2 linked regions of the Danio rerio genome follow. The protein of the gene in region 2 purifies or fractionates together with the protein of the main gene of each other region. This does not show direct contact. Links are inferred from orthologs where the notes say so. Each region holds a gene or a part of one and is shown on either strand. Other genes may lie near its edges.

Region 1 (3,322 bases), on a different chromosome or scaffold from region 2:
CTTTATTTCTCCACCTGTTATGTTAGATCTGTGTTCAGTGGCTCGGCCAGTGCTTCTGGAACTACCTGGACTGGCCTGAGATCTGTCAGTATGTGACCACCTGCGTCATTATGGGACCCGATTACCAGGTGTACATGTGCGTCTCTGCTCTCCGTCACCTACAGCAGGACATCCTACAGCACACACAGACACAAGACCTCCAGGTCTTCCTCAAGGTGCAGTATAACCTTTTAACTGTGCGTTTACATAAGCCGATTATGCTTTAAAGGATAGAGAAATGAAAATAAAATGACTTACTATTTTCTCACTCTCATGTGGTTCCAAACCTATATGTGTTTCTTTATCAGGTTGTCCACGAGGTCTTAAAAGGTCTTAAATTTTAAAAACAAAATGTCTTAAATTCACCAAAGTATTGTTTTGTTTGTCTTAAATAATTTTTAACAGGTCTCATTATAACAGGTCTCACCCAGTAATCCAACACATCCAATCAACAATAATGCCAAACTTTTTGCAAATCTCTATTTATAACTAAAATTATAACAGTTTGTTGTGCATACATTTAGTTTACTACATTTTTTAAAGAGTTTTTTTTAAGTTTTGTGGAAAAATAGTGTGTATGTAACTTGGGTCTGCTTGTTTTGACACATCATTTAAAATATGTGACTTAGAAATAATTGATTGCAATGACTTTTTGATAGGGCAAGAATTTTATTTTTTTTTTCTTATGGGAAAAAAATCTCTTATGTTTTGCCAGGGGTCTTAAAAAGTCTTAAAATGTCTTATATTTCAAAAACAAAATTTTAGGCCTTTAAAAGCCCTAAATTCACTGAAATATTGTGTTGTATGCCCTCTGTCCAAGTAAAGCTACCCAATCGGGTCAACATCCATCCATTCTCCAACAATCCATCTTAGTAAAATCAGGGAAAGTAAACTAAAAATCAATTACACGGTTGCTTGTGATAATAACAGAGCAATATATGTCTTTACAATATCTTCCATTCATACATTATTTACAGAAGGGGGAGCAGAAATAATATTTATAAATAGGTATGAAACTTAAGGTTTTATTACAGAAACACATTAGGTTGAATAGAAGTTATACTCAATTAATTTGGACCAAAAGCCGCCAAATATATATTTTGATTAGTAATGTAATTGTCTCCACATTAAAAATATTCTTTTAACAATGTTACACTTACCTTTAAAAAAAGAAATAGTGTGTTGACAACTAGTGTATACTTATAAGTGTATACTTACAAAAAGTGTATACAACTAGAGTTTTCTTGTTTTGACACATTTATGTATGTTGCTAAGATTTTTTTTTTTTATTTTATTTTTTTGTGGCAAACCAGGCAATTAGAAATAATTTTTAGCCCTGTATAAGTGTAACATTTTATTTATAATAGCTTTAAAAAGGTCTTAAAAAGTCTTTAAATTGACATGATAAAACATGCAGGAACCCTGTTAGCCCTATATAAGTCTGAAATTTCATTATTGATGGTCTTAAAAAAAGTCTTACAAAGTTTAAAATTTGATTTGGTGAAATCTGCAGAAACCCTGTTTATTTTGTTAAACACAAAATATATTTTGAAGAAAGCTGAAAACTTGTAACTATTGACTTCCTTACTAGGGAAAAACAAATACTATGGAAGTCAATGGTTACAGGTTTCCAGGTTTCTTAAAAAATATCTTTTTTATTTAACAAAAGAATGAAACTCATAAAGGTTCAGGGTGGATAAATGATGATTACATCTGCTATTTTGCATGAATATCCCTTTAATAAGCTGATATGTGTAATGCCATGTAAACGCATTACCCCTATTTATTTTATTATTAAAGGTAAAAGATGGTTAAAATGCTTTTTTTTTTTTTTTTTTTTTTTTTTTTACACAATACCCATTATCGCATTGCATGTAAACAAGTTTATCAGCATTCTAGCAGTTTATTAATGTACTCATGTCTGATTGCACATGCAAGGTACTTGTTGAACACAGATTTCATTTCTATCAATATTCGTGAGTTCTATCAAAATTACCTTCTTCCAAGAGTGTCTACTGCGGACATGTATCCAGTTTAAGCAGGCACTTCTAGACAGGGGCAGCAGTTATATTTCATGCACCGAATAATCGATTAATAAAATTTGCTACATTCACAAATACTGTAAAAAAGTGATAACACACATACAATACAACAGCACAGCTTCTGACAGACTCCCCTCAAAATTTTCGAGCTACTGATGCTGATGTTTGGGCTGTGACATTAGCTTTCAATGAGTGCGTTTACATGGGCATCAATAATCACATTTTAATACGATTAAGACAATACTCTTATTAAGAGTCTACTTTGTAAGCAGTAATTTATTCATTTAAAAAAAAAAATACCTTTATCCGACTAAAGTCATACTCAGACTAAACAGAAATCAGATTAAGACATGTGGAGGAGTATGCCTATTTTAGCTGCATTATTGAAGTGCAGCACAGACATGTAAACACTGCATTCAAACTAATTCCGTCGTTTAAGATTTTTTGCCGCGTTTTGCAAAAGGCCTGTCTATACACACACCTCTGTTTGACACTATTCTCTGCACCTACCGAGTCAATGAAGGACCACAGACACCGGCACCTTGAGGGTTTTTTGCAGAGTTTTTTTCCACCCTAAGGCGTAGAGTATCAAATTCCATTAAAACAACACTCTTCCAGGAGTTCATTGCTACCAATATCTCGTTGGTCTCGGAGGCATGCATGAAATGTTTCTGAATAAAAGTGAAACTGCAGTTAAAGTCGATGAATTAAATATGAAATACCTGAAATTTAATCAAACTTCAGAGGAAATGTGGATAGCGTGTTGACGCAATGACGTTAATCAAATTGAAACATTCAAAAAACAACTCATGTAAACATGTAAAGCACATTATTCTATTATTCAGATTAAGGCAAATAATTTGATTACTGATGGCCATGTAAAGGTAGTCGGTATGAAATCTGGCAAAGCTTAGAATCTCATGGTTTTTGCATAACAGGTTTACTGATTTGCATGCAAACACATAAAAAACTACTTTCTGAAATAATCTAATATTGGATAATTTTGTGCATGTATAAAAAACATTGAGTTATAATTTACTCATCTTCATGTTGTTTTAAAACTGCAACACTGAGAGGAGTTAAGTTGTAATGTTCAGCCTCAAAATGAGTTTAGCTGAATGTTCACATTATTCTTTTCTGTGTGATAAAAGTGAATAGGGATCTGGGACTAGAATGGTCTAAAAAGACAAAACATCATCATAAAAAGCATGTTCCTCAGACTTTCGAAAGACCACAAGGGT
Region 2 (4,385 bases):
GTGTACAGGAGAAGAAAATGCGGTGAATAAAGCTCTCTAGTAATGCAGCACTTCTAGTTTCACATGATCAGCGGCTCCCTTAAGGATCCCTCATTAGGGCAGAAGGCCTCAGGAAACCAGTGCTCTTGGGTATAGTGGTCTCAGCTTCCATCATCAGTCACCCTGCCTTAACATTAAGTATATTAACACATCTCACATGAGTGCACAGGTCTGACACCAGTTATTTGGTCTATGGCTCAATGTTTTGGTAGTTCTGTATTGACAGACTACAGTTAATTTGATTCCTAACTAAATGACTAGGATTTCTTTTATAAAATCGAAAATATGCAACAAGTGTGGTCTGATTACTAAAGCAAGTGACTCTTATAATTTGATCATTTTTAGTGAGTATTAGAAAAATGCAGAGCTAACATGTAAGTGTAATCTGTTTCCAGAACTATTGATCCTTAGAAATTGATTCTTTTAGGTACAATATAAAGCATGACAGGAGTAATCTGATTAACAAAGCAGGAGACTCTTAAAATTAAGTTATTTTTATTGAGTATCTGAAAAATATAGTGCTACAACTGTAATCTGATTCCAGAACTAATGACTTTTAAAAAAAATCTATTTTATTTAATATTTTCATAAATATATATACAGTTGAAGTCAGATTATTGACCAGAGTACTAAACAATTGACTCTTTTGAATCGATACTTTTTAAAGAATTAGAAATATTCAGCATGACAAGAGCAGTCTGTTTAACAGTTGTTTGACTGGAAGGCTATGAAATGATTTTTTTTATTTTTTATTTTTATTTTTTTTAGTAAATTTGAAATATATGGCTTGACAAAGATATGCGATAATTCTTTTCATTTAATAAGAAATCTTTACAGTGTGATAAAAAATTCAAGTACCAAACATAATCAATAGATCCTTTTTTGAAGGAAAATGTGAAATATACAGCATGACAAAAGTAACATTCTTGAGTCAGCTTTTACCAGCATGAATCGATTTGTTTTGACAAAACAGAAATATACAATCTGACAAAGGCAGTCCGATCACCTAACGATTCACTCTCATGAATCGATTCATTATAGTGATGTAGAAATAAACTGCGTGACATAAGAAGTGTCATTACCAAACGATTAACTATTATTAATCTAATTAACTATAATGAATCGAATCCTCTTTAGTGAATCAAAATATTCATAGTTACACACACACACACACACACAGACACACAGACACACACACACACACACACACATATATATATATATATATATATATATATATATATATATATATATATATATATATATATATATATATATATATATATATAGTCCAATTATACCAATCAAAAGACTTTGGCACTTTGTAATGAGAACTGTAAACACGCATTAGCAAAGCTGCAAAATCCGAAGAGATTCGTTAATTAATGACTGATGCTTAAATTAATGACTCTTTTGAATCGGTTCTCCTAATGAATCAGACCTTGAAATTAATGATTTTGATTACAATTAATGAATTAATGATTAATGATTTTGTCCTAACGGTTTATTGGATTACTAAATTACCTAGTAATGAACAGAAATTATAATTATTTCCAAAAGTGTTTATTGGTAAACACTTTTTTGTTTTAAGATGAATGCTCTTTTTACTGCTCATCTCTATTAACTTAAATGATCTTATAATTCAGAAAAAACACGCTACAGGCAGTGAATTCGAAGAGAACTGTCTGCATGTATTTATTTCCAAAATAAGTAATAAGGGTCGTTAATGGAACCGTTAAAGAGTCGTTAAAAATAACCCTATATCAGGTCGTTGCACCTGCTGCATATGTTCAAAAATGTCTTTGAAACATGGTACACATGACAATTAATAGATAAAGAAAGAACCCCTCTAAATGATCCTCAGAGAAACAAATAAACTGAATTTACCTGCCAGCTCGGCTCTGCGTATCTGTAGTAGCAGAAGTTTTCGGTGATCCAGCTGTATATGGCTGACAGGGTGATTTTGGTCTTGTTGCTGGCTTGCATTGCCATGCAAATCAGAGTGGCATATGAATAGGGTGGCTTCACGTGGCGGTTTGTTTTATAGTCTATCTCCTCAGCCGGGTTTGTTTGACCCGTTATGTAGTGTCCGGCTTGCTGAAGCGCGTATGGATTGGCCAAACTGCTGCAGGACGTTGTGGGATTCCCAGGTGTCTGTGGCATCCCTGTGGCGGCGGTATCTCCGGCAGGTGGACTGGAGGGCGAGTCGGTACCCCCCAGCTGGTTTTTGTAGTAAAAGAGATGTTGCGGGTGGCAGCCGGAGCTGGGAGTCCTCTCGGGGTTGGCACTGAGGATGGAGAAGTTCTGCAGCCAGTGCAGACTAGTGAGACTGTCGTCAAAGTGCACAGAGCCGCTGACATTATCCTGATCCTCCGGATGAAGCATCAGCCATTTCTCTTTGAATTTATTCGCTATTTCAGGACTCATTAACACCGGCATCTTGATCGCGAGTTTGGAAGGAGCAGATCTGTGAACGACAGACAGACACGCTTGAATATTCGAAAATAACGGCTAATAAAATAAAGTAGCTAACTATTTTAATATAAGCGTATGATTATAAATAATCCACCACAGAGTTGATCTCCTAAACAAACCGCCTACCTGCGAAATGAAAACACGCCGAATAACTCGTATGTTTGAGCGGTAGCGGTGTATGTCTCTTCAGTCCGTTAGATTCAGCCTGTTCTTCTCAGAGCAACAAGTGCAGCGGATAACGGAGCGCGTCCACACAATCACACATGTCCTGATGTCTGCTGGAAAAAAGTAGCATTCCAATCTCGTCTTTAAGAAAGTCCAATGGAAGCAGTTATTGTGTCGTAACTCGTAAGCAGTGAACAACAGAAGAGAAATGAGATGCGGGCTCCGTACTCCGCCGTTTTGCCCGTTTCTTAATAGCCCTTTAAATGTTGACGCTCTCTGATTGGCTGAGAGCTCCAGAGTAGAACATGTCATTGTCCCTGCGCAATGAGCGCATTCTGGGGGTTTCAGGCTTTTACATGCCACAGATCTTTTGTTGTTTTGTTTTTTTATTTATAGCTTTTTATTAAATATATATATATTTTAAAAATATATATTTTGCATTTGTTGCAATGCTTTTGTCTACAAACGTTACAATGAACCTCTTATCAATGCCTCAAATGCGGTCATCAAGGGGTCCCAAACCGGACCACAGCTTGAAACTCGTTTTATCAGATGAAGATGTTACAGGTGCTTATTTTGGTGCAATTATAGTGTTGAATAATTAAATGTTGTTTTTCAACTCTTAAATTAACAAAGTTTTCTTGATTAAAATGCATCACATTCGAGGATTTGCGATTTATTTATTATTATGATTATTTGCCTTAGAATTACACTAAATAGGCATACATTGTAAAATGAAATTTGCTACATTCTTAAAAGAGGGTTCCAAAAAATTGTTTTTATTATTATTATTATTTATTTTATTTTTATTTTTTTTGCAGTGATGTTTTAGAATATCATTCTTTGGTTCCCAAAAAAAACCCTTTTGTTCTTAAAGGGCATTCATTTTCCACTATAAAAACGTTCTGTGGAGTGGCAGGGTTTAAAGAAAATATATTTTTAAGAGTGCACATTCCTCGAGTAAGTCGTTAAAAGTCGTTGATAATAAACTTTGCGCCCGCGCCAAGAATGAAAGAAGCGCGCAAGAATGAAAACAGTGACGCGCTTTTACAAGAGCGCGCCAATCATCCCGCCGCAGGAGACCTCTATGACCCTCTCCTTACAGTCAAAGCATTAGCTTACACACCACATTGTCAAACATGTAGCCGTTTTCTCGGAGGCTTGGTGTACTTTGGGTAAATAATAGCTTTACTGGATTTTCAGAAACTACCGAAGTTTTGTCAGAGAGAATGAGGATTTTCCAAAACAGAGAATACACTGCCACCCACTGGCTGAACAAAATCCCTACGCTAGCCATAATCTATCAATCAATCAAATAGTTAGAAATAAGATATTTCGTTGATCAAAAATAAATAATAATAATTAATAGCATTACTCCAAACGTCAATCTATGTACTTTCTCAATGGAAAATTCTATATGGTATTATCAGAAATTATTCTTTGCATGTTTTTCTTTTATTCTGTACCTATTTTTTGCCATAAGATCACGATATCATTGCCTTAAAATTGATCAACAACCTTTATTTGAATTCATCTTAAATAACAGCATTTAATAGCCCTATTTAAGCATATTTGGTCCTCTTTAAACTATTTTGAACTATCTGAACAATAGTATAAACTATTCCAAAATATTTTGCCTACTTTTCACATACAAAAATTTCTTTTATAAGAGTTTAGAAAGTACCAACTACAAGGAACGACCCAGC

The links. Proteins that work in one complex are often made in the same cells at the same time.
Region 1: the proteins of foxj1b (region 2) and tbc1d32 purify together in Homo sapiens (affinity purification with mass spectrometry; 3 studies listed by BioGRID and IntAct, counting the BioPlex papers as one, with this or other methods). This does not show direct contact. The link is inferred for Danio rerio from reciprocal best matches to the Homo sapiens genes FOXJ1 and TBC1D32.

Annotation. Positions count from the first base shown.
Region 1 is NC_133195.1:44,126,825-44,130,146, forward strand, and holds part of tbc1d32 (protein broad-minded), read left to right. Parts: intron 1-26; coding exon 27-215; intron 216-3,322.
Region 2 is NC_133187.1:21,834,326-21,838,710, reverse strand, and holds the start of foxj1b (forkhead box protein J1-B), read right to left. Parts: upstream 2,904-4,385; 5' UTR 2,479-2,903; coding exon 1,927-2,478; intron 1-1,926. UniProt on the Homo sapiens protein: Transcription factor specifically required for the formation of motile cilia. Acts by activating transcription of genes that mediate assembly of motile cilia, such as CFAP157.